Linked DNA regions of Struthio camelus. The protein of the gene in region 1 purifies or fractionates together with the protein of each later gene. This does not show direct contact. Links are inferred from orthologs where the notes say so. Each region holds a gene or a part of one and is shown in the gene's direction. Other genes may lie near its edges. The genes, in order: CRKL, GAB1, NEDD9 and GAB2.

Region 1 (6,897 bases):
GCTGGATGCTGTGCAAAGCAAATCAATATAAGGCTTAAAATGTAGTTATGAGGAAATGACTTTTTCTTCAAGCAGATCACATACGTTAGAGAAGTGTTCTACTATTTTTTCTATTTTTTTTCAGTTACTGATAAAATACAGTTAAATTACATCAACTAAACCTAAGAGCAGATATTATGTATTTTGATTTAGCAAAAAACAAAGCTTCAGTTGCTTTCACCCCAAGAATTTCTTTTCATCTGGGGTGTATTGTGACTGTCAAAAGTTATAATACGTACTACCTTACCTGCATGTATTTTGCTTGGGTAGAAAACAGAGTTTAGCTTAGCTCAAACCAATCTAATCATTTAGCAGTAGCTCGCTTTCGTCTAACATGTACCTTTCCAAACCAACACATAGGCTAAACAATAATGAAATTGCTTTGTTTTAGAATTGGCACTTTTACCTAAATTGGCAGGTGTAAAGAGCTTTGTTCTTCTTGTTTACTGCAGTTACATATAGAGAGAAATTGCAAGAGACTATACATTGATATGTTGAGCCATGATTACTATTGATGGGTTTTCTTATCAAAGATAATGCTTCAGGAACCTTGCCTTCATGAGCCCAGTGAAATGTTGTGTTATCTTAAGAAAAAGATGCATAGAGATTTCTGGCTGATTCTTCTTTTTTTTTTTTTTTAAATAAATCCTCTGCCTCCTAAATGTGTCAGTCTTATAGTAAGAAGCATTCCTTTTTTTTTTTTTTTTTTTTTTTAAAAACAGTCCTCTAAGACAGTAGTATAGTATAAGACATTGAGGTCAGATGGACAATGAATTAAGAAAGCTTTAAATATTTGAGGTCTGTAAGAGAATAGCCACACAATTCTTTCAGAACTAAGTGATCAAAATACAAATGCTTAAACTGCTGATACATTAGAAAGTCCAAAAGAATAATAACTAGGTTTCTTGATCATCTATTTTCCTATTTCCTGTCCGCGCAGAGGCAAAGTTATATAGGCATATTTGCTAGATTTGTAATTAGTGGACATGTATCCTGAACTATTTCAGGCTTCTGCATTTGGAGAAGTGATTGTAACTGCTTCAGTTTTTGTTTCATAACTGCTTTCACTACTGTATTTCTTCTCCACCTACTTCCAAATCCACCGTCTCCTTTCCCATTTCCTCTTGATTTAGATTAGGGTTGTTAATTTTGCTGTGGAAGCACAATTCATACTTGATCTGAAACAAATAAGGAGTCTCATTCTATACCCTTGATAGAAGTTTACTTCTCCTTACTTAGAATCCAGCCACATGTACAATTTATTTGTTATTCAGTACAACTGATAGGGGCAGAAGCTTCTGGTGAAAGGAGGAAGGAGCAGCTGGGCATGGGGAAAGAGGGACAGGAACCTTCTCAAGGGAATATTGTGCCAACAGAGTTTTTATTTCATCAGCAGCTGATGCACTTTAAGAAATCCCCACCTCCTCAGTTGTGCTGCAGCAACCATTCGACCATCCTCTGAGAGGGTGGAAGCCACCAATGGGTGAGAGAAAGAGCATAAACTTCTGTATATGTAATAAAAAGGTAAAGTGGTTCCATTAAACAGTCCTAAAAATCCATACATTTCTCCACTCTTCCTAGACAAACAGTAGTTGTAGGGATTTAACACATCTAAAATCACTGCCTGTAGTCTAGGTAGCTGATGCCCAGTCTTAGCAAGTAGTATTAACAATCTTGAACAAGTTACTTCTTTTCTCTTAGTGTAATAGAAATGGGATCTTTTACCTAGATCTGGCCTGGTTAAACCACAGCTACTGAAACTGAAGCAGGAATTACCTGAAGGGTACATGCAGCCTGCAAGAATGTAGGAGGTCAGAACAGATAATTGTGACAGCTCCTTCCAAATTGAAAACCTCGCTACATTTTAGAATCTTCTTTGGATGAAAAGGCATCTATTTTTTACTGATTCTGCTGCTAACTTGTGACTTTTTGTAATTATGTTTAAATGGTGTTGGGTATGTTATTGCAAATTGAAATACTATCTTTCAATCTCTACATTTTGGCTATGGCCACACAGAAAATGATCCAAATCCGTTCAAATGACAGAAGAAAACACAGCACCCTTCATAGTTTGTGGTAGCCTGTCTGCATGCATTTAAAATTGATTCCAATTGACAGATATGAGAACTTAGACCAGTAGGAATGAATCAGAGGTATAGCTGCCAGGTAAGTTGCCCTAGAAATGGAAGAATATCTTTACACAGCTGTATAGCTTCAGACGGTATTCTTCACCTTTAGGTCTGCTCAGTTTGGCTAGCACTGCTGCACATGGCTAAACAGCTGCTGTTTTCCACCCAGGAGATGGCTGTACTTCAACGGCTGGTAAAGTGATACCTGTACATGTATTTAGGGGCATGCTTTAAGATCCTTTCGCGCTAGTGATGAGATTTTCTTGAACAATTTTGTTTAAGCCATAAGCATCCGAGTAGGCAAGTCTTCCATTTTAGATCGTTTGAACTATGCTGAATGTCTAGAGAGATACATCCCATGCTTTCCAGTCCAAACACTTCAACTGGCACTAGTGGCCAACGTAGGAAGAAAAACAAGGAGAAAAAAAAAGACCGTGCTGTAACTAAGCTTTCAGAAAAGACAGAGCATGAAAGAAAAATATCAAAGCTGGAATAAGCTGACACAATAGGTCCAACTGAGCACTTCAAAACAGTCAACCTAAATCCGTCTCTTCTTGAAACGTTATTTACATGCTTAAAGCTGCTTCATTTTCACGCTGTCAGCCCCAAAAGCAAAACGAAAAACAAAAATCAAGGACACAAATTAAACAAAGTCATGAGAGCGAGCTAAAATCACAATGTTTGTAAAGGTTTATCACATGTCTGGGGAACTAGGTCTTTTGGGTGCTGTTTATTTTGGCATGCCGTTGCCCACTGCAGTGGGATACGCTAATTACCACCAGCGGCCCTCCCAAACTTGAGTCAGAGGGCGTAGGCCTCGCTGCCCACGCTCCCGCTCCTCCTCTGAGGTCACAGCGCGCTGAGCTCCCTCTAAAATTCAAACAGCTCATGCTGCACCGCCTGCCCTGCCCTCGGGGCTCGCCGCATCCTTTCCGGGGGTTTCCTTCCTCTTGGCGGCTGCAAGGCCATCGCCGTCGTCCCTTCCCGCCCGGCGCCCTCCTCGCCCCCGAGACCAGAGGCGAAGGCCTTCGCCCCCGTTAGCTGCGAACAGGCCCAGCAGAAGAGACAGGAAACCGTCTCCTCTCCTGAGCTACGTAGGAACTTACCTCCCTCAGAGGGGGTTATCACGGGGGTGCCTTTTGCCCTTCCAAAAAATTCAATTAACAGAACAAGAAAACCTCAGCCAGGCTGATCTCCGCCTCAGGGAGCCCTCGCCCGGGACGGGGCGGCCGGCACACAGGGATGGAGCGGGGACAGGCCGAAGCGGGGCACGCCGAGGGGGGCACGGCGGTGGGTGAAGGAGGTAAATGGCCCCCCCCCGACGCGCTGCCCAAGGAGCGGCCAGGCTCGGCTAGGCAGGCTTTCGTGGGGGGAGGAGGAGGGCGGGGGAGGCCGCGGTAAGGCCTGCTCGGTGCTCCGGGGCGGCCGCCCAGGAGGGGGGGGGCCCGCTCCCCCCGGCCTCCACAGCAGCGGGCCGGGCGGCCCGGCCGGGGCTCCGCCGCGGAAGGCTCGGACCGCCCCGGCGGGGGGAGGCGAGGGCGCTGCCGCCCCTCAGACCGCCGCCCCTCCCCCCGCGGCGCGCGGTCGTCGCCGCCGCCGCCGCCGCCGCCGCCTCCTCCTTCCCCCCCCCCCCCCCCCCCCGGCGCGAGCCGAGAAGCGCAACGCGCCTGCGCGGCCGCCGCCGCCGGAAAACTCCCACCGCCCGGCGCTGCCGCCGCCATTTTAGCATTCGGCTCCGAGAGTGGAGGGAAACCGGCAGGAGAAAGCGGGAGCCGAGCGCTTCTGTCCGTCCCCATCCCCCCCAGCCCCCGAGGCAGCGGCAGCGGGCTCCCCTCGCCGCCCGTCCTAGTGAGCCGGCGCCGCTCGCCCAGCCCGGCCCGCCGCAGGCCTGCGAGCGAGGCGGGAAGGATGCCCTGCACACCCCGCCGCTGAGGGAGACTCGGGGGCCCCGACCGCCGCGCCGCGCCCGCCCGCCCTGCCCCGCCCCGGCCGCTGCTCGGGCTCCGCCGGCCCGGGGCTTCCTTCTCTCTCTCCCGCCGGGCCTCCTATCGCTGGCTGAGCACTAGCCGCTTCCTGCTAGCCCCCAGCCCGCTCCGCCTCCCCGCCCAGGCCTTCCCTTCTCCGCGTCTCTGCCTCCGCCTGGGCCTTCGGGCTCTTCACCTTCCTGCCCCGCTCCCTTCCCCTTCCCCGCCCGGAGCCATGTCCTCCGCCGCTCGCTTCGACTCGTCGGACCGCTCCAGCTGGTACGTGGGCCCGGTGTCGCGGGCGGAGGCGCAGACGCGGTTGCAAGGGCAGCGGCACGGCATGTTCCTGGTGCGGGACTCGTCCACCTGCCCGGGGGACTACGTGCTCTCGGTGTCGGAGAACTCCCGCGTTTCCCACTACATCATTAACTCCTTGCCCAACCGCCGCTTCAAGATCGGCGACCAGGAGTTCGAGCACCTGCCCGCCCTGCTGGAGTTCTACAAGATCCACTACCTGGACACCACCACCCTCATCGAGCCGGCGCCCAGGTGAGTGCCAGCCTCCCCCCCCCGCGGCCCCGGCATCCCCACGCTGGACGCGGGGCCCCGCCGTGCCTGCTCAGGAAACGGCCCCTGAGGGCCCTTCCTTGGGAACCGCTTCCAACAGCGATCCTCCGCACTCCGGATCTCACCGGCCGTTCCGAGCTGCTCTTGCAGGTATATCGGCTATAGCAGTGCACGTCCTTACAGAGCCCGTGGGCATGTGCGAAGGTGCTGCGTGCATCTCTGCCCCCCGACTGCAATTCTCTCGCAGTGGGTGTGGCCTCGCTTTGTATCAGCCTGGCGGTATTGTCCTGCTCCTCGGGCGGTTGAGGACCTGGTTCACAGCTCTTCCACTCAGCGATCGAGATACAGCCTCAGAGCTGTCCGTCTCCGCGTCCACAGCGGTTAGAACAGAAAAGGCCTTTACGTGGTTAGGCTGTACCACCCTGTTAAGTTAGTTTTAACGCGTTCTAGGACAGCGTTTCCCAAGCTTCTGGAGTTCACTTCCCCCGAAGAATGGAAATCGTAATATTTCTCCCAGCCTGGTAATGGCACTGTATGCCTGTGTCTGCATACTGCATGCACTACACTAAAAAATGCTGCTCTAGGAGGATGGAAAAATATGACATAGCTATGAGCTCATTCTTTGTTCTGTTCCCAACATGAGACATAACCTGCTGCTTGCATCAGTAAACTATTTTAGATTTATTGATGAACTTGCTCGCTCCTTACTTTGATTTATAAAGCTTTTCTCAGTATGTTATTTCAAAGCTGTTCAGCTTCCTGTACAGAATGGAGTGAAAATAAAAGCTAGATAAATAGTGAGACACACACAGACAAACAAATTCAAATTAGTTCACTACTAAATTCAGCAGTTTAAAATGTTCCTATCATCTGCAGATTAAATAAGTTCTTAAGGAAAAAAAAAGAGCTTTTTGCTCACGAGTTAAGCTTGGCTTTAAGCATAGTGATGTTCTTAACAGTCAGTAATGTCAAAAGTTGACAATATCTTGTCAAATTCCACAACTCAGATGGTCAAAAAAAATCTTTCTGCAGAGCTGTCAAGTGATGTAAGGGATGTGACAAGTCACTAGCTTCTAGAACTGTTAAAGCTGCTAGAAAGTCTGCACAATTGTGCTTTGGCTGGAAAGATGAATAGGTGAAGAATTTGCTCATCTTTCACAGTTGCAGGGCTACTTAAATGGAGCTGCCCAGCATTATGCGCATGTTTAAACTTGCAGATGGTTGGGAGGAAAAACCTACATTGAAGCAATCCTTATGTTTATCTCAATTCTTCCCTGAATATGGATGTGCTTTTCTGAAAATAAGAACCTGTTCATAGTCATGTATGGCAATAACTTATTTTGCTTTCCTCAGCCACTTAAAAACTTGGTGTCACTTAGCTGACCCCAACTTGCTCACTTCCTATTTATTTAGAATCTTGTGTCAAGCACATTACAAACATTTCAGAACCACATCACTTCAAGCTTTTGATTGCATATAGGAACTGGTGGTTGCTCCCCTAGCGTACAGAGACAGATTTGAGACCTTGCATGCTGTGGACTGACCTTTTTTTTTTTTAAACAGAGCTATTAATGGGATTGATTAGATGGTTTTGTTCATAGTATTTTTGTTCAAACTCTTGGAGAAAAATCAATGACACAGTTGATGGCTCAAAATTAAACTTAAAGGAGACTTCCTGCTAGAAGGGAGAAAGAAAAGTAGCATTTCCTGACTTTTTTTTTTAAAAAGGTAATGAACTGGACTTAGAATACGAAGGGTAGGCATATGCTTCAGAACTGTTATTTCTTTTTCTTCCTTATAAAAACTTGGCTTTTTTGGGAGGGGGGAATACTTTATTCAGGTTCTTGTATTCTTGAAGGCTTTTTTTTAAATACCGTTAAGGACAGGATGAGGAGATAGTTGTCATGATGAGATTGAACAAGTTTGTTGGTGTACAAGTTTCTTTAGCTGCAGGAGATGACGTTTATGCCAAAACAGTTGAAAACTAAATTTTCTATTTGTTTTCTGGCAATAGTGAGTTTTTACCATCATTGCAGATGTGCCTAGGCCCTTGCTTGTGTGGAGTGACTGGTCTCTAAAGTTTCTTCCTCTTTGGCTTCAGCAGGATACCTTAAAGAAACAATTATATTCCTATTTAAGGTTTCTGGAATATCTTAATAAAAAACACAACCAACCAACCATACTTAACTTCAGTCAAC
Region 2 (7,975 bases), on another chromosome or scaffold:
CCGCAAACTGACCAAAAAGAACTCTGTAAATTAAATTTATCTAGGAAGATTTCCGAGCTCAGAGAGGAAATATCTGAGATGAAAACAGATGTCTATATTGGGTTTTTTTAAGGTTAGAAGAATCTTTTTGCACCGGTTCATTGCTGTGTAAATACGTAAACATGTTCTGGGATATAGTTTGACATGCAAAATATGATTTTTTTTATTAGAGTTTTAAGTCTATGTCATAATTAAGAGCTGTGGTCTTATTATGCAATTCCAGCATTTCTAAGCTATTTGTATGAGAAATTAGTATCATTCATATTTTTAAAAAACAAATCCATATGAATTTAATCTCCTCTTCTATCAGCTCCTGCTTCCTTTGTCAAGAAGCCTTGGCAGACATACCAGGGGCAATGAATTTACACATGACCTACTCTATGTGGTAAAATATATAAATATTCTACTCCAAAATTTTGGAGAACCCATTTAAAACACTTTGGAATGCACTCACAAAATAACGCAAAGTCAATGGAAGAACCAAGGCTTCTTTCACATGCTCTTATAAGCAAGGTAATAATTGAGATGAAAAAATGTCAGAGGAGCCTAAAGCCCAAAAATAACACAGTTAATTAGTTGGAAGGTGGCAAAAGCACCATGACTGTGAGTGGTAGTCACATACCAGAGCACAGTGTCGCCTGGCCAGTTAAAGTGCATTTTAGTCAGTTTTGTACTACATACTTCACTACAGTATCTGGTCACAAAACGGATACTATTTTGGATGACAACAGCTATGCAGGGTTCATAAATAGTAACATATGCAACCGTGCAGTGGCTAGGCCTGAAATTATTTTGGCATTGTAGTCAGTGAGAATTCCATCTCTGCTCAATTCTCTAGCTGCTTTGTTGGGCACATCCTTTCCCTGGCTACATAGAGCATTGCAAAAACTGCAAACTTCTTTCAAAAAATGGAAAAAACAACTCAGTAACCCCATCACCTGCGAAACAACTGATTGCAGTTGATTGTTTTATTACTGCTATTAAAAAAAAGAGACAATCTAAAGCAAAGGAACTTCACCTGAAAAATAAGGTGGCAATTCCTCAGAAGTCCTGAGTATTCACAACATGAGAGAGCAAGATTGTCTTAGCACCTGCAATGAAACCTCTTCAGGTTTTCAGGCCATCACTGATACATTGGCAAGGCAAAGAAAATCCTTTCTTCTTCAAGACTGTCCTTGTACAGAAACACAAAAGATCTCCATAGTGCAATTAATTGAGCTCATAGGATCTTTATTCTCTGCGCTTCCTGAATCACAGCACACTTGTACAGAAATAACCCTCTGGAACAAAGTGAGGGGAGAGGGTACTCGTGTCCTTATGTGCAGTTACAGTAGTCTATCAAGCCAAATGGCAGTGTGACCCAACGGCTCCACCACGAGCTTGTCAGAACACTCTGTGACCTTAGTGAGTCTGTACTTCCACGCACGAGCTGTACTTCAGGAGAATTTCAAAGTGGACCACGCTTATGTTGTTTAAAGTTTCAAGGCAAAAACACAATAAGAAAACTAGCTGAAACATTCAAGTTTGATAGAAATTTTTGCAGTTTTTAATCCTAACTTAAGGAAATCACGCCCTACCTTACCTTACTGTAAGGACGGCATAATTGCTTCACTATAGTTAGGCCCACTAACTTCTCTACATAGACAGTTATACAGCAATAACTATGCAGACGTTACAAGTCAGACTTAAATACTGTGCTATTTATGCATTTCATCAGTGTTCTTAATTGCTTTGGTTTGCCCTAATTCAGGATGCCTCAATTATGAACTGTGGAACATTGTCAGTTATGCATGGAAACTCACTGTATTAACATTCTCAGTTTTGCTAGCTGTTAACTTACTTTAAAAGATAAATATAGCCACATGCAGCTCTTTCTTAAGATTACTGGTCAAAGTGCCAGTGAAATTGTAAATGGGTAGTTCCAATAACAAATTGAGTGTCGAAAGAGAAATACACCACCATGATCAGCAAGGAAGCAGTCCATTAGACAACATCTTAAAAAAAGATGTTACGTATCTAACAAGTCATTCTGAAGTATTTCTTTGCTGTATTATATTTTCTTAAATTCAACAATCCAATGAACCATTTTTAAGACAGTGTTTGGGCCTGTTATTGTATATAACAATAAGGCACGGTCTAAAAATAAGTGTTTACTACTTTCTCATCATTTATTGATATACTTGACATCTACTCCTTTTTCCTAACCTGTGATTTATCACTATATGGCAGGCATGAAACCTACACACAAAGTGCATCTCTAGGTAGCTGTTTTCAAGAAAATTAATTGCTACTGTAGTTACAGGACAAACTAATGCTGGACTCTGGGCTAACACCGGTTCCAGCATATTTTAAAATATCTATGTAATGTCAAAACATTAGACAACTACATTAGTGGTTTAAACAAAAGAGCTATACTGAAGCCCACCGTGAAGTCTAAACCACATATTACAATTTGAGCTCATACTTATCAACTGTACGCATCAAATCACCTTCTCACTCTTTCCGCTACCCCACTGAAGTAGATGAAATGATGTTTCATCAAAATATAAGCGAGGATGGTTTGGATGCTAGGATTTGTGCACTTTAACATTGGTAAAGCACAAAATTCACTGATTGTCTTTTTCTAAATGTTTTTGGTAAAATCTTTTGTTCTTTCATTATCTTTCTTTTAATATTTAATAGTGCTTTACCTGTCATAAAACTTCAAGCACTAGTGAAAGTAACTCTGTGTAAAGATCTACAGTGAAGTGGATGCACCGATTTCAATGGCTCTTGGCTTTAATCTTTCATTTTCCTGTTACTTTTGCAAGTGACTTTGTCAAAATGCTACTGATGCTGTTTAGTTACTTTTTAATGCGCTATACCTTGATGAATCACAGTAACTATGACACTGCCTTCAACAAAGGTACACTAGGGGGACTATTTGTCTGCAGTGGAAGAGCACTGCTGTTAACCAAACAACATGTCCCATTCCAGAACCCTGCAAATAAGTAATCTGAAAAAAAAAAATCATATTTAGAGCTCCTTTTTGTTGGAGTGGAAAAGATAGAGCACTGTCAGCAGAGATTAACTGTTCAATGGACTTATTTTTACCCTTTTAATTGAATAATGCCTAGGACTGCCTTGCATACCACTGTCCTTTTTTCTCAGTTGCATTTATCTGTAGGACGGTGGCAAAGAGGAGCCTTGGTTGTGAACAGACCCTACCTGTGGAAGATACTGTGCAAACACAAACCAGAAAGCCCTGTCCCCAAGACCTCACAGTCTAACTAGCAGACAAGAGGCAACGCACGTGAGAAGAGAAAGGTGAGAAAACGCATTAGTCGCTGTTTACATCACCAGACTTTAGACCCCAAACACCATGTAATTTGCTGACTAATCTCGGGAGCTGATTGCAATCTCCACCGGCTGGTGGAGAGCAGGAGTTACTGTCGGTGCTCTGACTCGCCCTCTAGAGGCGCCTTTCCTGCCACTGACTACACAGGGAGCTGGTTAGTTTTTTACCAACAAAGGTGGGCGCTGTGGTTACTTCCCAGGGAAATGCAGGAGCCAGCATTACAGCCAGCGGATACACCACTTAAAAATAACACTGTAAACACCACATACAAATAAGTAGGCCCGAGCTGTCAAAAAACGTGACTTTTTTGGTAGGGAACACTCTCGTGCTGAGGGGTTTCGGGTTGGCTGGTTGGTGTTTTAACTGTAGCTCCACAGGCTCGGGCGATGGTGGGTGGTGCGTACGTGTTAACTGCAGAGACGCTTCAAATCCGTCCGACACGTCCACCTTAATTAATACATCTCATCTGTCACATGCAGACGTGTAATTACAGCTTTCTTACCAGAAGCAACGTCACTCCACAGGGCCAGAGGCTCGCTCTGGGAAGAAATGAACTTGGCATTTAACTTTTCTAAGCCAGTAACCGAACTTTCTACTTTTTTGCCAAGGCAGTTTCAGACTTGCTAAAAGGAGTTTACTTTCGCCGAGTTGTTTTTAAAGCCGTTTTTATAGGTGTTTTTTTTGTTTTGTTTTCACCTCTAATGAATGATTTTGCGGTGTGTTTCAAAGAATTAATCAACATTTCAGTCATAATTTTAACATTTGTTATTCAAATCAGCATTAGCTTCACAGACCTGTCCTTCAGAGCTGAGAACAAACCCGTGCCCTCCTCAGCTCCCGTGAATATTCAGCTGAAGCTCCGCACGCCCCCAAAGCAGACCTCTCAACTCCACATAAGTCAGAAAAAAAAAAAATCTGCTCTTGGGGGTGGGGTGAGGCAACCTACCCCCCTTCTCCTTTTCCTTTCTCGCCTTCCAGCGGGGCAAACGGTCAGCGCCGAGGGCGCCGCCCGCCGAACGCTCCGCGCGCCTCCTCGCGCCCCCCACCTCCCTAACGGCCCCTAACGGCCGCGCCGCCGCAGTCGCCGCGGCCCGGCTACCCGCCGGGGGCCGCTCCCGCTGGCAGACTACAGCTCCCAGGATCCATGTCGGAAGCGCCGTCCCCTCCCTCCCTCCTTCCCTTCCCCCTCCCGGCCCTTGTTGTTTGAAAAGGCTCTGGCGGAGTTTCAGGGGGAGCTGCGGCTCCTCGGCTCGCCGCGGCTGCCCGCCCGTTGTGGCGGGGGGGAGAGCGGGGCGGGGTGGCGCCGTCGTTCAACTGGCCACCGCGGCCGGCGCTGTGGAGAAAAAGTGGGCTGGGGGGGGGGGGGGACACGCTTTGAATACCAGGGTAAATCCCTCCCACACTCGTGAGGAGAGGGAGAGGGGACCCGACCCCGCGGCGGCGTGGGGGCGAGACCCGGCCGCCGCTGCCCGGCTGCGCCCCCGGGCTCCGCTCGCCGAGCCCCGCGGGGGGCGGCGTCCGGCGGGCCGAGGCGCCCCGTCCCCCCGCCGTGCCCCGGAGGTGAAGGCGAAGGAGGCAGGAGCGCTGGCCGGTCCCCTCCTCCCCGCGCGGAGGGGAGGAGGAGGAAGGGGAAGGAGCAGGAGGTAGTGAGCCAGCCCGCCCGAGTCGCTGCGGCAGCCAGCGCCGAGATTTGCCAGGCGGCCGGGAGGAGGGGAAGCCCCTCCCGGAGCCTTTCTCCGCCGCGAGGGTCCCGGCGGCGAGGAGGCGGCGCAAGCGAGGCGGGGCGGCGGCGGCGGCTGGATCCTGCCCTGGGACGCCGGAGCCGAAGTTGCGGCGGGGCGGCGGCCGCCGCTCGTCGTCTTCTCCCGATGTTTGTGTGAAGGGCGGCGAGGAGGAAGGGGGGAAGCCTCCCACCTCAGCCCCGCTCGTTACTCCGCTCGGCCGCCGCTCCGGCTGTTTGTGCGTGCGTGAGAGACAGACAGACAGACAGACAGACAGACACCACACACACAGAGCGCTCCCCCCGCCCGCCCCTGCCCTGCCTGCCGCCCGCCTCGCTCCCTGCCCTCGCCCCGCAGCCCCAGGAGGCCGGAGCGGGCGCCGTGCTGCCGCCGCGTCTCGGGGCTCCCGCGGCCCGGCTGCCCGAGGAGGAGGAGGGCGACTGGCCTGGCGGGCAGGCGGCCCCAGCCATGAGCGGCGGCGAGGTGGTCTGCTCGGGCTGGCTCCGAAAGTCCCCGCCGGAGAAGAAGTTGAAACGCTACGTGAGTGCTCTTCCCCGCTTGGCGCTTCGCGTCCCCTCTCCCGTCCCCCGCTTTCCCCGTCCGCTCCCTGCCCTCGCCCCTGCGCCCCTCGCCTCTGCCCCTTTCCGCCGTCCTCCCCGGCCCGGCCCGGCCCGGCCCGCCGCCGCCGCCCCGCCGGCCCCTCGCGGCTCCGCGGCCGCTGACAACGCGGGGCGCGGGCGCTGCCCGGCCCCCTCGGCCGCCGCGCCTCGGCCGGCTCCCGCAGGGCTTTCGGTCGGCTTTGTGTGTGTGTACGTGTCTCTGTTCGTTTCTTTCTGTTTTTATTATTTTTTATTGGGGGGGGGGGGAGGAGGTGAAAAAGAAGGACACCGAGCGGTCAGATGTTTCTGCCTTCGTTTTATCGCCTTTCTGAGCGAGTTGGGAGAGGGGCGGAGTTTTTTGGTTTTTTTTTTTTTCTTCTTCCCTTTGGATCCGGGCTTAGCAAATATATGTGTTTTAAACGTAAACCCTGGCCGTGCCGGTGCGCGCGTGGAGGGGGCCGGGGCCGGGGCCGGGGCCGGGGCCGCCCCGCTCCGTGCGGCGGCCGCCGTCGCTGGCCGGGAGGCTGCGGGAGCCGGCGATGCCCCGGGAGCCGCCGGGCCCGGCCCGGGCACCCAGCGCTTTGGGACAGAGCGGGAAAGCGGCCGGAGAGAGGAAGGAGTTGCAATACATTTGTCGTCTTCTTCTTCTTCTTTTTTTTTTTTTTTTTTGATAGCAGCCTACTGTTGCTCCGAAGTAAATATTTTAACAGGCTGTAGAGGAGCTGACATTTCGGTTGCAGGAAAATGGAGCTTGTTTGCTGAGAGGGCAGATTTCGTGACAGGGGAACAGCAACGCTGTTGTGCTCTGGGTAGCTCTTCGGTGTTGGCGGAGACGCTGTCAAGTCACGTAGGAGGGATGGGTGATGCCAGAAGTCCTCTTTGCCGAGGCCCTTTCCCATTGGCACCGAAGTAACTTCATGGTATTTGTGTAATTGGTACAAAATGTTGGGGCATTTTTTTTTTTGTTTTTCTCCCTCCCCAAATCTTCGTTTAGCAAGTATTTAAATAGAAATGGGCTTTGCAGTTACCAGTTTTACCAAAGTAATTAAGCCTCTTCACGTTCATTTGAGAATCTGTGAATGCAGATCTTAATGTGATCGGGTTATTTTAATTTGTTAGTGATTGACAGTCACTTCCTGGAGAATAAACTTAGAGAAACACGCGGTTGTTGTTACTGATGAATTGTTAAATGCCAAGGAATTGGCTAAATGTGGCTCTTCTGCTTTTTTCCCCTTCCAAAGAAGGGGGAGGATAGCCCACCCTCCTGTTCCCACTGGCAAAAATCCTGTTCATGCTAAGGCTACAGGATCAGACTTGCAAAGAGTATGTCGTGATGGGCCTGGGAAGGGCTGTGCTTCCCCGCCAGATTGGACATGGGCTGTGTTTTTGGCTGATCTGCTGCGTGTACTTGTATACACATAGGGAATATACTCACAGGATACCATTTCACTTTAGCAGTGAAATGTGTAGGTATTAAGTAAACTATTAAAGTTTTTAAAGTTTGAGTTTTCTGCCCAAGCTTTAAATAGCAAACAGTTATGCTGCCTGTTGATGGCAGAAATTGTAAACAAGCACTTGGTGTCCTAAATTGATACTGTAAATCACAGTCTTTAAATACACTAGCTTTTTTTTTTTTTTTTCCATGTAGCTATCTTCTCAAGGTATATTCACGTCATTCATTCATGCTCCCATATTAAGATAAAATTACACCCTTTGAGAGGAAGTCTCTAACTGTCGTGTTGGTTAAGGGGTTCGCAGTCCTGAAGAAGTGGTTCCTTTATCTTTACTCAAAACGGAGGTTTTTTTTGAGGAGTTAGAGTATCAGAGGGATAGTACAGCAAGCTTATATTAGCTTCAGCATGACTTAGTTGGTACAGCTTCTGTATGCACTGTAGGCCGTAAGGTCGTAAGTTTAAATCTTGCACGTTGCTGTCAACTGTTACCTGCTTGTACTCTCCTGCATGAAGGAAAGGTGCTGTCTGAGGGAGGGATTAAAGCAAGATTTCTCCTGCTTGTCTGTAGTGGTTTGTGTTCGTTTCAAAGGCATAAAAGTGACCTCTGCGTCATGGTTGTTGGCTTTATCCAAACAAAAAGTTGACAAACTCAAGACAATGATTTTGGACTGAGTGCACAGTGATTGAAACGTTGGCTTGTGCTCTCTGTAATTTTATGTCTATGATAAGGCACAAAAGAGCTATGTTTTTAAAGCTATGTTATACTGGTGATATTTCAAGAGGCTGCATGAGAAGAAAAGACAGGAAAGCCTTTTCAGCAGAAAA
Region 3 (7,177 bases), on another chromosome or scaffold:
ACAGAGGGAGCTGCATTTATTCACTTTATCTGAAGGAGGGTCACTAAACAGGGCCTTGATGGTTGACTTACAAAGTTAAATGAGCGATTCCTGAAGAAGGCCTGCATGAAATGCCATTCTTGAGAATGTGAATAGCTTTTGTGTTTTATTATTAAAGGATGGGGGATGCCTTTAAGACTGGTTCCATATATTTTAAAAGAAATGTAGAATTCTAGAATTAATTAAATGGCAAAAAATAGTCAAATTTAAAAAGATACTTCCATTAAGATTTTTTTTTCTCACACTATGACCTTCGTATGTAAACCTGACCACTACAGAAAATCACTGTCAACCCTTCCTTCTTCCAGGTTTCTGTTACTGTTGCATGCAATAAACTGCTTGCCTTGAAAAGATTTCCATCACTGGTCAAAGAAAAAGAGAACAGATTTTGTTTTCATTTGCTGAAATGCAAGCTATTCCCTTCTTTGGATGAAAATGAAGGGTTTTTTTAATTATTACTTACTGAGATGGGAGCAGGGCCTTTCTGTCCAGATACACACAGAAGCCTGCCCACACCAGTGGTGAATTCTTGTTACTTTCTTTTCAGGAAACAGCAGCATTTCATCTTTTTTCACATTTCTCCAAGCAAGCAAATTCCAAATTCTGATTGTGTATAAAACCATTCTATACTGTTTAAATTCAATCCGCTGCACAGCAGCTGAACCAGTTCAGGCAGCATTATATAGGCTGTAGGATCAAGGCTCATTATTAGGACTCTCCTTTGCTCATAAAGTGCAGTGGCATTATAACTAAATTAATTTTAATCCCAATCCCCTGGCCAAGTATCGCAGCAAGAAGTGATGAAGATGCTGCATAACATTATCCAAAGCATACTTAGGGCTTTGTGCAGGAAAAAAGATAGCTCAGCGCTTCCAAAATCCAGAGCTCACAGACCTGTTCTGAAAAGACTCTCTCAACTGTGAGAGAGACGCTCTGCTGTGTCTCTCTCTTCTCAGGTTGTGTCATGGGAAAGGGGAACAAGGGATTTTTTGTTTTAGTAACCTTTTGGGCCAGGATATCTGTCTCGTGTTCTTCTCCTATCAGTGTTCACAGCACACTAGTTGGCTGATTTGCTTCAGTGGGTACTCCCTTCCCAGCCTGGCTGACAGCTCTGTTTCATGTTGTTTGCTGAGGGGTGCGGGAGGCAAGCATAGAGCTTGGTTGACAAGCAGCCCCTTTGGCTGCAGGACCATTTCACCTGCTGCCCTCCCCCAGGTATCTCAGAGCTGTATTTGGCAATTGGGAGGACATAAGGAGAACACAGTGGTAAATAAAAGAAGCAATCAGCTCATCAGGATGGTGTATGAAAGAAGCAGACAAGCACTAGGTAACCCAAATGAGCAGAGAATAATATTAATTTGCCCTCAGCAAAAGCAAACAAACAAACAAAAGCCATTGATGCAGGCACAAGATGAAGTCACAGAACTCATTTGCTACTTCACTAGAATTGCAGCGGCATAAAATACAAGGCAGTGAATCAAGTCATTGCTGTGCTGTGAAGCAAAAAGGCCCATTATATGAATCACCCTCCTGAGAACTTCAATAGGGCCCTGTCGTTATAAATCCTGGCAATATAGCTCGAGTTGCCTCTACAACACAGACACTGGTAAAGCCAGGTCTTGGCTTCCTCATCAGCATGTTCCATTGTATAATTTAGCTGATTACCCAAGGCGACCAATTCAAAACTTCCCAAGACTACTACGCCTGAAATGCAGTATTACATAGTCAAGGCACAGCAGTTGACAAGGTTATTAAGAAAAGCTAAGTGCTTGCACTAACCACGAATGTGTGCTTTCCACAGTCCTCACTTTTTTTAGTAATGTGTCAAGGTTACAGGATCATATTTACAAATGCCTCTTTCAAGGTATATCCAATTCCTGATATTCATGATGCATCAGGGAGCTCAGCCATGCTGCAAGCTCTGCTAGATGTGCTACACTAAGTGGGAGTATTTCACCCTTGGGGAAATTAAAAGCACCCTCAAAGCTCAAAGAGAACCTAAAATGGTTAACGGAGTAGGTGAGACAGACTCGAGGGAGGGTGAGTCTGAATAAAACCAACAGTGAGACTTAGTAGTGAGGTAGTAGTATGGGATAGCAATCTTTCTTCTTCCTTGCAAAATACTAATTATTTTATCTGTTCCTTTACAATTGTAAAGCACAGCTATCAACACTGGTAAACTTTGGGGTTTGCTGCCCCAAAATTTCATTCCAGTGACATCTACTTAAACATGTTTAGTATGCATTTTGGAGGAATGCATAATAAAGGAAAGCAATAAATATACAAGGGAACACCCAACTAGAATTTGACATTAACACATCTGTTACTGCATATTAAGGTCAGTCAGGTACATTTTTAAAATATCAGAAGCACTACAGGCTAAAACAGAGGAAGAGGTACAGCTTCTAGAAATTGTAAAGCATTCTGAAGAAGAAAAACAACAATCGCATGAAAATCCTATATTGGTAGGATGACTGGAAAACGGATACACTCTGGATTTAAATATAGGTGAAGTCAGAAATATGATTCTGCATTTCTTATATTGGTCTCTGGCGCTTATCTAGTCTTTATTAATGTGGTAACCAAGTGCTTTACAATCTTTAATGCATTTATCCTCTTGACAATGGTGCCAGAAAGGGAGGCTTTCACATATGGGAAGAATGGAGTGCAAAGAGATTATACAGGGCTTATTCAAGGAATAGGAATTTGGATGCTAGTTAAATACCATGCTAACACCTTAGCCATTGCATCCTCTGTCCTTAGGAAATGTACCCCAGGAGAAAATTTTATCCTCAGAGAGAGTGAAGGGAAAAAATATGCCAAAAAAAAAAATTAAACTCTATAGTTACAGAAACACTCCAAAGAGATTTGCACTCTCCTAATTGTAAGCTGGCTTTGTATAATCAAAGAAATTCAGAAATAATTCACTGAAAGAATTATTTTCTTAAATAAAGTATCTAATGATACAGCAACCAGGCAAGCTTTGTTCTGCTGAAACTACTGAAAACGTAAAAGAACGTTGCCCAAAACTCCTCTGAAAAACTATAAAATCAGCAAACAAACATAAAGAAAAAAATAGAAAAAAAAGAGGCCAAGCAGCTAGTGAAGCGACAGCAACGCATAGAGAGCACAGTCAGCAGCATGTTCTGCAGTGCAGAGAGCAGACGGTCACTTTCCTCACTTATAACTGATACATCTCTTGTATTGACAGGGACTCATATTATTAGGGCATGTGCAGTCAAGAAGAAAAATACAGACGAAAAATAGTTTTGCATGCATTTAGTAAATACGTGCTATACAACTTCATATTTTATCCTGGAAGTAGAGAATGGAGGAGGCGATTACAGAAAAGGGTATTACATTCTTTAGAAGCCATGAAGCCATTTTAGCACTTGCATCCTTCTCTAGTGGATCGGTTTGCATGAGCATTTAAGGATGCCACTGTACTGTGGAAGTTATGTTTGTAATTTAGTAGTACAAGATTATTATTTGCTGTTTTTCCTTAGGCCACTAGAAATAGTCTTGGGTCCATCTGCGACCTAGAAACGACTGGCTGGCTGTCGGGGCAGGCCCGGCTCCGCTCCCCTCAGCCTCACAGGCCCCTGAGGGAGCAGGCGAGGCTCTGAGCAGCGTTTGGTGCTGTTTGTCACTTCAGGGCAGCTATTCCCAGGGCTGCTTTCACTGACGGCCAGGCCACTCTGAACCTTGAGAACAACAGAAATCTCTCAGCAAAAGAGACACACCAGCAGGGGTGGGGAGGAGGAAGGGGCGGCAGACAGAAAACCTTTTGTTCGGTGCCCGTTTCATGTGGAGAATATGAGGTGAACGGCTTTGAAACGACACGGGACTGTCAAGGAGCCGCTGGGTCACAGGAAGCAGGGCTGTCGGCCCTCACGTTGTGAGCGGGTTTCTTTCCTTTTTTTTAAGAAAAGCGAGGAAGCAACTCATCTTAGCGAGCCCCCCGCCTTCCCCTCTCCCCTTCCCCTTCCCCCCCCCCCCCAACGGCAGCTCCGCCGAGGTAACGGCCACCCCGGCGGCGCGAGCGGGGAGGGAGGGGGGGAAGGGAAGGGAGGGGCGCCTTGTCACGGGCGCTGGCCAATGGGGGCGGTGCTATGCAAATGAGCGGGCAAGCCTGGCGGCGCGGCGGGCGGCGCGGCGCTGAGAGGAGGCGAGCGGACGGGCGTGGTGGTGGTGGTGCTGCTGCTGGTGGTGGTGGTGGTGCTGCTGCTGCTGCTGCGGCGGCGGCGGCGGCTGCGGTGGTAGCGCGCTGCGCTGCGCTGCGTGGAGCTGCAGGCGTTGGGGCGATGCGCCGGGGGCCGCCGCGCGCCGCCTAGCTCCCCGCGCGCCCGCCGCGCTCCCCGCGCGCCCGCCGCAGCCATGAAGTACAAGGTAAGGCGAGGCGGCGGCGGCCCCCGCTCCGCGGCGGCAGGGAGGGAGGGTGACCCTGCCCCGAGCCGTTGAGGGGGAGCAACTGACAGGAGCCTGGCGGGTGTTGTTGGAGGGAAATCGGGGCTTCCCTCGACGGGTGCGACCGTTGGCCAGCCGTTAGCCGGGGAGGGGGGAGGCTGACCGGGGTGGGGGGGGGGGTTGCCTGCTCTCGTCAAAATGCCAAAGGAGCTGCCCAGCGGCATGACGGTGTAAGTGAATTAGTACGGGAGGCTTTAAGTGGAAAATAATGAGGCAGTACATAGAGATAAGCTTGGAGAGGACTCTCAGATGTTTGCACGGCGTTGTGTGTTGAAAGAAGGGGCTTTTCTCTGCCTGTAGAGCTGTAGGTGCCCATCTGATGGCTAGGTTGCCCTCTTATTTACACCACTGCTGGTAAGGGTGTAAATACATCTGCTTGTAGGAAAATGCATTTTTATGTGTTGTATCCCGCACTGATTTGGGACAGTTATTGCTACTTCTCCCTGTGATGTAATCATCCCCTTTTCCAAATCTTTAAGAATATATTTGGTTATTAAATTGCAGTTTTTCAGGGTGGTCTGTTTTAATAGGCTGAGAGGAAAAAAAAACAGATGTATATTTTAAAATGGACAGTATACCCCCCTCTCCCGCCTTAAATAAAAGCAGTGATTTAGCCTAACCAGACTTTGTTTCAGAAGACACAAATATGGAGATTTCCATCATAATATTACTCTACTTAAAAATGTCTGGGCAAGGTACTGGATTGCCTACAGGGCATTAGATTACTGTACAGACATACCGTAATCTTGTGTGATTGGAAAAAAAGGGGGAGAGAAGGAAAACTTTACTTTCTCTGCCAAAAATAACTTCAACATCAATAAAAAGGTGATTTAGAAATGTCACATACATTACATACACTTACTTAGAGACTAGCTTACTTTGGAAGCAAAGCCCATCTTTTTATTAAATTTAAGCAGCATGTAGTGTAAGAGAGCCCAGATTCTGTATTGCTGAGCAAGGCTTACAGACCTGTGTAGAAAGGGATGTCTGAGTGCTGCCTAGACAAATATATATTTATTCTGATTCTTCTCTGTGCATCTTTGAGTTGGGCCCAAGCTTTCAGAAACTATCTTACCTAAACTTTGGGAAAGCTTAGAGTTGCTTTTCAAGGCTGCTGTCAGTTTCACTATCTCATGATGGTTAAAAGTGACCAAGAAAAGGGAAATTCTGTAAGATACAGATAGAGAAAGACCCTCAGTGACCTAGGAAATTTTGGCCTGGATGTGGTGGCTTTTTTTTTTTTTTTGACTGACTGATTAGACGTTTGTGATCAAATTCATCACCTGTTCCTTTCCACTCCCTGCTCAGATCAGTTCAGGCAGACTTGACACTGGTTTAGGAAAGCTGTACTTCTTACCAGAAAATATCAGACAGTTGGGAGTGAAAGAGCAGAAAATGTCATTGTTAGTCCAGAGCTCATGAAATGCTTTCCAATTACCTGTGACTAAGCAACACTTTTCTCAGTGGCAAAATAATGGCCCTGCATAATTATACAACTCCCTGACTTTTCTTGTCACCATCTAACCTTCGTGTGCTATGAGGGGATCATACTTCATATGTGGCCACGAGGCACTGCAGGCATAGGAACTGATAAGGTAGCTAGCTCTACCTTATTCGCCCCTTATCAGGGCGAATCTTCCTTGCTTTGTAATATTTCCTTTGCCCAGTCTGATTGGAATGAGCGCTTTGGTTCAGGGAGGTGATTACGTAATTCTAGACGGAGCAAGCTAGACAAAGAAAGAGCAAGTCATAAAAAACGAAGACAGAGTTTTTGGCCTCAAAAACCTTCTTGTCAGACTAGAGTGTTTACTTTCCCTGGGAAACGTGAAGTAGTTACTTATACTGTTTAACTGGGACAATCATCTTTAGATCTGTTTCTTATCCCCAGAGTAACATATAATGAAAATACCTGCTCATTCAGCCTCTGCTGTTTTCTTTCTATAGGAGAACAAACTCCTATACTTTTTATGCAGAAAATGAAGGAACAGAGTGTACTGGTGTCTTGCCTGGGAAAATACCATCACTTCAGAGGTGGCTTGGTTTCCAAGTATAGAGTTGGGTCTGCTTAACTACTCCTGGTATTCTCCAGGTGGTATTATTTTGGGCCCTTTCATTCTTTACTTCTCGTGGCCTTGTTTAATAAGGCCTTGTTTAATTAAATGACTGAGATGCTCATTATAGTCCAAGGAGAGTATTAACATTTGTATATAACAGGAAGTGACTCGTGTGCAAGGCCCTGAGTATGTCTTCCCATCACTGCTGATGTTACTTTTGCTGGGACCGAACACAAGGTTTTGCTGGTCTGAACTTCCTTTCTGCTACTCGTTCCGTATGTTCTACCTCTTTTCACTCATAAACCTTTTGAAAATTTGTTCCCTCTCCTTACTCTTCTTTGACCTAAATTTCTTTCATTCTCCGTCCCATTCTTTAAACATTTTCCCAACATAAGACTCAAGCCCTAGTCCCCTGAAAGCCAGTGGGACAATCCCTATGGATTTCAGCAAGTTTAGAATTTTACCTTATATCTGTCTCTCCGCTTTTGTCTCTCTGTCTTTTGCTCACTGTGCCTGATTCAGTGAAGATGTGACTGCTTACATCAAGAACAAATTTGACCCCAAGTTAAGTCCTATTCTACCATTCATGCACTAATTGGTTACTGGAGAATACAAAA
Region 4 (7,662 bases), on another chromosome or scaffold:
GAGCACAGGCTGGTGGTCTTTCCACCAGGCAAAGCTGCCATGGTTTTCTGTCTTGAGAAGGTGAGAAGACAATCTGAAAACTGATTTCCTCCTCTTCTCCTCCTCAGTGGAAACAGCGTAAGTGAAAATAAGGGTAAACAGAGCTGCCAAAAATATATCTGGATGTATCTCCAGGTGAGAGAGTTTGCATGAGAAGTTCTAATCTGAGCCCCAAGTTTGGGAATAGTTCAGTAGCGTTTTGGTGTGGTTCAGCTCCAGGCAGAACCGCTTGAAACTAGCCAATGTAGCGAGGGAAACACGACTGGGCTTTAGCTTGGAGTGTGGTTCGTCTATAGGAAAATCCATTTAATTATCTTCAAGTGTAAGGAATGGAAGAGCTCCACAGGCTGGAGCCTGGCCTAGCTGCATCCGCAGAAAGGTCCAGCTCAGCAACCCAGACATCCTCCCAGTGCTGCCCAGCGCATTGCCTCCGTGGTGATGTGCAGGATTTCACCGTAATCCCCAACAGAAAGGGGATGAAGCGGGTTTGATCCATTGTTTTCACATCACCGTCTTGGAAGAGCAACACCTATTCTTCACTACTAGCAACTGGACTGATAAGTCCAAGAGTGCATGTGCAGCTTGGACACTGATGACCCCTGCCTCATCTCTTCCTTTCTCCCTTTTTTGAGCCTCTGTTGAGGCGTCAGAGCTTTGATGCCTCTGTCTTTGCCAGAACACGGTAGCAACGATGCTTCAAATGGTCTAGTCATCTCAGAGCATCCTGCGCTACGATTGTCCCAACTCATGGAAAGCAGCCAGTGCTGCTGGAGCTGCACTGAGGAAGGACGGTCTTGTGGTTTGGCTTCGATTACGGGCTGTTCTGGGGGGCTCGCCGTGCTCTTTTACGGAGGGTGGCAAGATTCAAGTTCTCCTTGGAAGAGATGAATTTCTAACCTTGAACGTTTTTTTGTGAAATAAAGGAAGCTGTTTGCCTCCAGCTCTGCTGCAGGAGCTGTTTGGTGAAGATAAAGCCAGGTCGTATTGTTGGGGAGCTGGATCTCAAGAGACCGCACATTCGCTCCGGATGAGAAGCAGGCACGTATCGCCAAGCAGCACAGCTCGTTTTTAAAGCCTGTCCCCCTCCAGTATGTTTAGGTTTATATTAACCTCAGCATAGGGCATTTCCAAGAGATCAGTGCCTGGCTGGGGTAAGTAGCCCAAAGCATTTCACCCAGCTGGTGCTTAATCCCCAGGAAATGCCCTGCGTCTCTGTCCTTACTGCTTACACACTAAAAATCTGGTGTGTGGAGGGGAGAAATCACGCTTTCTTCCCCTGCTGCCAGTAGATGGCACAGCTCATTTAAACAAATTTGGAGCAGGCAAAGAGCAGCGGCGGGCGTTGTGGTTTGTTTCTTAGAAGTTGTGATTTTTCAGACATACATTTCGGTTCCCTTACGGCCAAGAACAAGGAAGTACGCTGAAGACTGTGATTAAAAAAACAGAGGTTTCTGCAGCAGAAAGTGTCATTCCTTTTCTGGCACCTCGGCGTGCTTAAAGCACGGCGCCGGGGGCTTTTTCTTGGAACTGCCCTAGCCTCGTGTGAGGAATATGATTTTATATACGATCTCTCTTAATTTCTCCCTCAGTCTGCCTCCTAATTCTGCCTTTGCCCCTTTTTTGCTGGTCCCACTGGCAGAGAAGGAGTCTCAGTTGCTTCGCACAACCCCCTCGGCGTGTTTTTTTGCAGCACAAGGAGGTGGTTTTTGCAGTTTTCAGCCGGGGCTGTTGGCTGTTAGCTCACGACTCGGGAGATTCACGCCGTCAGCTGGGGCCAGCCTTAGTTCAGGCTCTGCCGTCGGGTGCAAGAGCAGCTTGAAGTTGGGAAAACTGTCACGGGCGTGCGAGCGCTGCCAAATTAGAGCTGTGTCTTTGTCTTTTAAGTCCTAGAAGCGTTTGGAGTAATATTTGTGTGGCCAGATGCTTTAAGTGGCACCAGCAGTAAGAAGCGTTGTAACATGACGTGCATGGTATAAAATGTGATGCGGCAGCGCGATGCCAGAATGAACTTGCTGTTCTCACTCCGCGCGCAGCCGTGGCAGCATCAGGCAGCCGCATTCACATGCAGTGTCGTCGTTTCGGCCTTCCCCCCCCCCCCCCCCCCCCCCCCCCGCATAGAGCTTACATTTTATGTTTGCGATGGCAGTGTGTTTCAGAGCACGTAAAATGCAGCCTATTTCCTTTCCCTTCTGAAAGTCACGGCAGCCTGGGGTACGTGCATGGCCAAGACGTTAGGGCAAAATCCGTGGGGGGAATTCATCTTTCGAACGCTGTTCGGATATATCTCGTGATAGAAAAAGGTCAATAAATTCGACCCAAAGTAGGGGATGAGCAGAGCAAAAGGAGCAAGGGAGCAGGAGAACGCAGTCCAAGGCTGTCGCCAAACGTGTGACTACTCGTTCCCCTTCAATTCCGTGCAAACCATGAGAATTACGGAACATTTCATTGAAACGCCTATCGCCCAAACAAAGTGTTTTCGATGCTGCGTGCTGAGAGCTGTTAGCATAGAAATGCGGCCGGGGTTCTTTGTGACCGGTTTGAAGACTGATACCACTTTGCATCAGTGTCAGCATGAGGGAATTCCTAACCTGTGACTCATTAACATATGCTTTGGAAGGGGTTTGTACGGTACCAGTGTATTCATAATGAGAGCCGATAGTCCATGCTCGATTATGTCGTCCTAAGCCCAGGGTAAGCTGCTGACTTTCCTGGAATTGCCCTGGCTGTTGGGAAGACCTCTCGGGCTGAGAAGGTCGGTCGCTGGGAAGCGATTCTCCCTGTGAACGTGCAAAGCGCCTTTGTAACCCGTCATAGATTTACAGGTGAGCCTCTCGGGCAGCGTAAATTGATACCGCTCCAGTCCACTGAATACAGCAGTTCTGATTTGTGTCGGCCGAGAAGCGGCCTCTCTGTCTTCTCCGGTTCCCAGTCCCGTCAGACGGAGCGTATTTTCGGAGATGCTGATCTGACAAGAGTTGGCCTCTATGGAAAGATTGCCCCACGCTTAAATAGGACCGAGCCCTCGATGTGGGCGGTGAAAAGGTGGAAAAGCTTCTTTACAGACTTTGCATTTCACCCATGGGAAAAGGACGAGCATTTTGAAAAAAATATGGTTGAAAAAAATGATATACTTGTTCTTTAAGGGGTTAGTCCCCTCCTTTCAGTGTTCACGAAGATGGTAAACAACACCTGGCTTAACTGTGTTGTCCCCATCTTGAGAAGAGGTGTCATCCCTACCCCTCCGAGGCACTGCAAGCTGTAATTACTGCCTGTAAAGTGATGCAAGATCCCTGCTCGAACAGTGTTGGCGTGTGAGCCGGCGTCTAGGTGCTATTGCACCAGATACAGTACAAAGCGAGAGACTGTCCCTGCCCACGTGGGTTGGACAAGTTGACAAAACGCCACGAAGGGAAACTGAGGCAGGGAGGGACGATTTAATGTGCCCAAGCAGGTTTGGGGCAGAGCTGTCATATAGAGGCAGGCTGGGGAAATGCATCTCCGGCAAGCAGCCCGGCGTTGTGTTTTCCCGGTACGTGGATAGCGTGAAGGCGTTGAGAGCTGAGAGCGCTCGGCGCTAGCAAACTTCTATCAGCGCTGTTTCCAGATTTTCGCTTCTAAGGAAAGGCAAAAAGAAGGTTTAGAGCATGATCCTCCTCTCAGGGCTGCGAAGGGACGTTTTGCTGGTGCCTCGGATGGGGAGAGGATCAGACCTTGAAGCGCACAGCGTTTCTAGATCTGGAAGAGGATGGCTAAATCTCAGCTAGGGTATAATACACTGTAATACGAAACCCAGCTTGTCTGCATGAGACTCCAGTGGCAGTCAAATCCCCTTTCAGTGGGTGCTGCTCCATTATTTAAAAATCAATAATAAAATATGAAGCTTTTATTGATTCCTCTCCTTTTTTTTTTCCTTTTTTTTTTTCCAGGAGGATTTTTTTTTTTTTTTTTTGCTAGAGCATGGCATTTGACCGTGTTTTGCCTCCACCTCTTTGTTTTCCTCCGGCTCCTTCACATCTCCCACAAAACCCTTAACCACTGCAGGGTGTAAGCCGCCCTCTCCTCCCTGGGGTGAGAAGGACAAAATCCATAAAGAGAGGGGAAGCGTCTGGGGGAAGAGCGGGGGGGAATCTAGTGATTAATCCCCATATCCTTATCCTGTGGGGTGTTGGGGTGTTTTTTTTTTTTTTCTTATTATTTATTTTTAACTAGCTTGGTGGGGGGCTTTGCAATGCAAGATCCCGGCTCAGACAGGATCTGCTCTGCTCCAGGAGGTCACCTGCTCTACGCTAAAGTTCCTATAGAGATGCATGCAGCTACATACGCACACCCTGTGCGCCAGTGCGGGCCGAAATGAGCGGCAACACCTCCGGGGGAAGGAGGAGCCCTCGGCCAGCCCGGCGACCACCCAGCTGCCGCCGGGGGCCCGGGGCTGCCGCCGCGGGAGCGCCCCCTCCACCCCCCCGCCCGCCCGCCCGCCCCTTCCCAGTGCCGTGTGCGGGGTTTTGTATCTTTAATAAAAGCAGGCTCGCCTGGCAGGGAGGGAGGCGTGGTGTGCCGGGGAAAAAAAAGAGGCAGTTTCCTGCTTTCCCCGCTCGCAGCGGCTGGCCGGGGCTGGGAAGGCGGCGGGGGGAGGAGGCTGCCGGCAGAGCCGGGCGGCGGCAGCAGGAGCGGCAGCAGGAGGGAGGAGGCGGCGGCCGCGGCTGCCACGGTGATGGGCGAGCGCTGCCGGCGGCGCTGAGCGCCCCGCGCTCGCCGCTCCGCTCCTCTGCGCCATGAGCGGCGGCGAGGTGGTGTGCGCGGGTTGGCTCCGCAAGTCCCCGCCGGAGAAGAAGTTGCGGAGATATGTAAGTGGGTTTACGGGGGGGGGGGGGTGGGAGGCGCGGGCAGCGGGCCGAGGGGACACACGCGCGGGCAGCGGCCCGAGGGGACACACGCGCGGGCAGCGGCCCGAGGGGACACACGCGCGCCGCCGGCTGCACCTGCCGCCGCAGCCCCGGGCGCGCCGCTCCGCGGGGGGCGGCCCCGGCCGCCGGCTCCGCACCGCTGCGCACCGCTGCGCAGCGCGGACGGCGCTGGGTGCGCGCCCGCTGCGGGCGCCACGCGGGTCAACACGGCCCGGCCGCGGCTGCCCACGGCGGCGGCTCGGCTCTTCGCGTGGTTTTGCGCTTGGCGCCCGGCGCTCGCTACCCGCCGTGGCTGGATTCCCCCCCCCCCCCCCCCACCTGCGCTGGGCGCCTTTGGAGATTGCTTTTTACGGGATAATAAAAATAACGCGGATCTCTTCCCCCCCCCCCCCCACCGCTCCGCACCCCGTAACGGCTGCTTCCCCCCCTCCCCGCTTGCGGTTGCTGTTAATCATCTGATGTTCAAACTCTTTGAAGATTGCACCAGTAGCACTTTGGTAGCCTTTTTTTATGTGTGTGTGTGTGTGTCGTTAGCGGCTGAGATCAAACAGTTCAAGGAAGTTGTAAAGAAGGGTCCAAATGCCAGCCCTGTCACATTCCCGACTCCTTGAAAGAAATAACTGTTCTTTGCGCCCGCCGCCTGACGCTCTCCCAGTGCGCCACAAGCCCCAGAGCTCAGGAACGCGACTATGTAAAGCTGCCGTCCTGTGACTCGGCAGATGAAGTCCCTGAGTGCTGCGCGCTGGCTCCGGTGACTCAACTCTGCCGGGTTTCGGCTCCTTGGCACCGCAGCATCCAGCGCGAGCGGGATGCTCTTGCTTCCTGGGATACCCTTCCTTCCTGAGAGGCACCACCAAAGTTGTCCTTCCTTCCTGTTGCTTTTGCCCCTGTGCGTCTTGGGAAGCGCAGGCAGGACAAGCGTCGCTGGGGTCTCCCCTGTGCCATAGACGTGTTATTGATTGACGCACCGCTGCATACCCCAGAGAGGGTGGTGGGTATGAGTAGACCCGTTCCATAGGGAGGTAACTGGTTCATGATTGAGCATTAGTCCCAAATGAGTGCAGCACCGTAGACTTCAGCGGCGCTACATTTCCTCACTTTGGACCATGCTTGGTTGCTCTTGGCCATCCACTCGTTGCTGTGCCTGGTCCCTTTTGCGGGAGGGTTGGGTTGGTTCCAGGCTGCAGATGGAATGTGTGATGGAGTTGAGGGAAAATCCAGTTCCTTCCCTCCCTGCCCCCTAAATGTACTGAGACAAAGCCTGATGTATGTAAGCAGCTCTCTGCAAGATGGACAGACTGACTTTGTGCATGCTGAACAGCGGAGGATGCTTTTAGCTTAATGGAGCAAAGCACCTTCCTCCCGCAGAAATCAACTAATTGCTGATACTGAGTCACCAGTGGCCTTAACTCATCAAACATCATTAGCTCTCCAACATCTATTCAATGAAAGGGCGCTCACATCGCCTTCTGAATATCTAGCTTGTGCTCTGGCATTCCAGCAAGAGCTGAATAAATCTGCTAAATGCTATACATGAGGGTGTGACATGCTAGTGGTTAGTGCTAATTATTGATGTGCATAAGAGTGCTTTTCATGCAGATGCATCCCAAAGTGCTTTGCAAGCCACCTATGTTTTGAAAACATCATTATTCCCCCAAGAGGAAACTCAGCCATTCCCAAATGTACCCGGTCGTCCTATGCAATGTTAGTGGGTCAGGAAGCAGCAATGGACATATGTAACTCAAGGGGTTTTCTCTATACTCCGGTCCCGGAGTTGTGGTCAGTGGGACTTCCCTCCAAGTCATGCTGGTTGCACTGGCTTCCTGTATGACCATGGGCCCAAGTTGCTGAATTTTGCCTCTATCATCTTTTTGAAGTCATTTATTCTTAGATAGGCAGCTTGGCAGCTTTCCCCCCCCCCCCCTTCTTTACTTCCTAGTTCCAGTTAAATAGAGAAAAGTTCTAGTGAAGTGTGCTGTGTCACGTGGAAAGTCTGCAGTGGCTGGAAAACTGTGCCCTTCATTTGTACTGTGTCTCGTTTGGTGGTGCCCTATCACTTTTTAGTATAGAGATGGTGATATTATATGGCCATGCCATGTATGTGTCCAATGTGTACTGTGTCCAATTCTGGGCTCCCCAGTCCAAGAGAGACATGGCACTGCTGGAGAGAGTCCAGCACAGGGCTACAAAGATGGTGAGGGGACTGGAGCATCTCTCCTCTGAAGAAAGGCTGAGAGAACTGGGTCTGCTTAGCCTGGAGAAGAGAAGACTGAGAGGCAAGCTCATTAATGTGTACAAGTATCTGAAGAGGGGAGGTGTCGAGAAGATGGGGCCAGACTCTTCTCCGTGGTGCCCAGCGACAGGACAAGAGGCAACGGGCACAAACTGAACCACAGGAAGTTCCATCTGAACCTGAGGAAAAACTTGTTTCCTGTGAGGGTGACAGAGCACTGGCACAGGTTGCCCAGCGAGGTAGTGGAGTCTCCTTCTCTGGAGATATTCAAAACCAGCCTGGACGTGATCCTGGGCCGTGTGCTCTAGGTGACCCTGCTTGAACAGGGAGGTTGGACTCCAGAGGTCCCTTCCAACCTCAACCGTTCTGTGATTCTGTGATTCTGTATTAAGGGTGTTAGAGCTTTAATCAAATTGCCCCCTTCAGTAGGGGTCCAGAGCATTCAGATGTGGCCAGGAGTCCCCACTCCTATAAAACCTGCCATCA

What was found.
Region 2: the proteins of CRKL (region 1) and GAB1 purify together in Homo sapiens (affinity purification with western blotting; 3 studies listed by BioGRID and IntAct, with this or other methods). This does not show direct contact. The link is inferred for Struthio camelus from reciprocal best matches to the Homo sapiens genes CRKL and GAB1.
Region 3: the proteins of CRKL (region 1) and NEDD9 purify together in Homo sapiens (affinity purification with western blotting; 4 studies listed by BioGRID). This does not show direct contact. The link is inferred for Struthio camelus from reciprocal best matches to the Homo sapiens genes CRKL and NEDD9.
Region 4: the proteins of CRKL (region 1) and GAB2 purify together in Homo sapiens (affinity purification with western blotting; 3 studies listed by BioGRID). This does not show direct contact. The link is inferred for Struthio camelus from reciprocal best matches to the Homo sapiens genes CRKL and GAB2.

Annotation. Positions count from the first base shown.
Region 1 is NC_090958.1:9,181,375-9,188,271, forward strand, and holds the start of CRKL (crk-like protein), read left to right. Parts: upstream 1-3,878; 5' UTR 3,879-4,367; coding exon 4,368-4,681; intron 4,682-6,897. UniProt on the Homo sapiens protein: May mediate the transduction of intracellular signals.
Region 2 is NC_090945.1:33,971,266-33,979,240, forward strand, and holds the start of GAB1 (GRB2-associated-binding protein 1), read left to right. Parts: upstream 1-4,956; 5' UTR 4,957-5,565; coding exon 5,566-5,637; intron 5,638-5,859; exon of another isoform or gene 5,860-5,906; intron 5,907-6,544; exon of another isoform or gene 6,545-6,559; coding exon of another isoform or gene 6,560-6,616; intron 6,617-7,975. UniProt on the Homo sapiens protein: Adapter protein that plays a role in intracellular signaling cascades triggered by activated receptor-type kinases. Plays a role in FGFR1 signaling. Probably involved in signaling by the epidermal growth factor receptor (EGFR) and the insulin receptor (INSR).
Region 3 is NC_090943.1:101,051,602-101,058,778, forward strand, and holds the start of NEDD9 (enhancer of filamentation 1), read left to right. Parts: upstream 1-4,163; 5' UTR 4,164-4,416; coding exon 4,417-4,428; intron 4,429-7,177. UniProt on the Homo sapiens protein: Scaffolding protein which plays a central coordinating role for tyrosine-kinase-based signaling related to cell adhesion. As a focal adhesion protein, plays a role in embryonic fibroblast migration.
Region 4 is NC_090942.1:220,164,594-220,172,255, forward strand, and holds the start of GAB2 (GRB2-associated-binding protein 2), read left to right. Parts: upstream 1-4,651; 5' UTR 4,652-4,811; coding exon 4,812-4,883; intron 4,884-7,662. UniProt on the Homo sapiens protein: Adapter protein which acts downstream of several membrane receptors including cytokine, antigen, hormone, cell matrix and growth factor receptors to regulate multiple signaling pathways.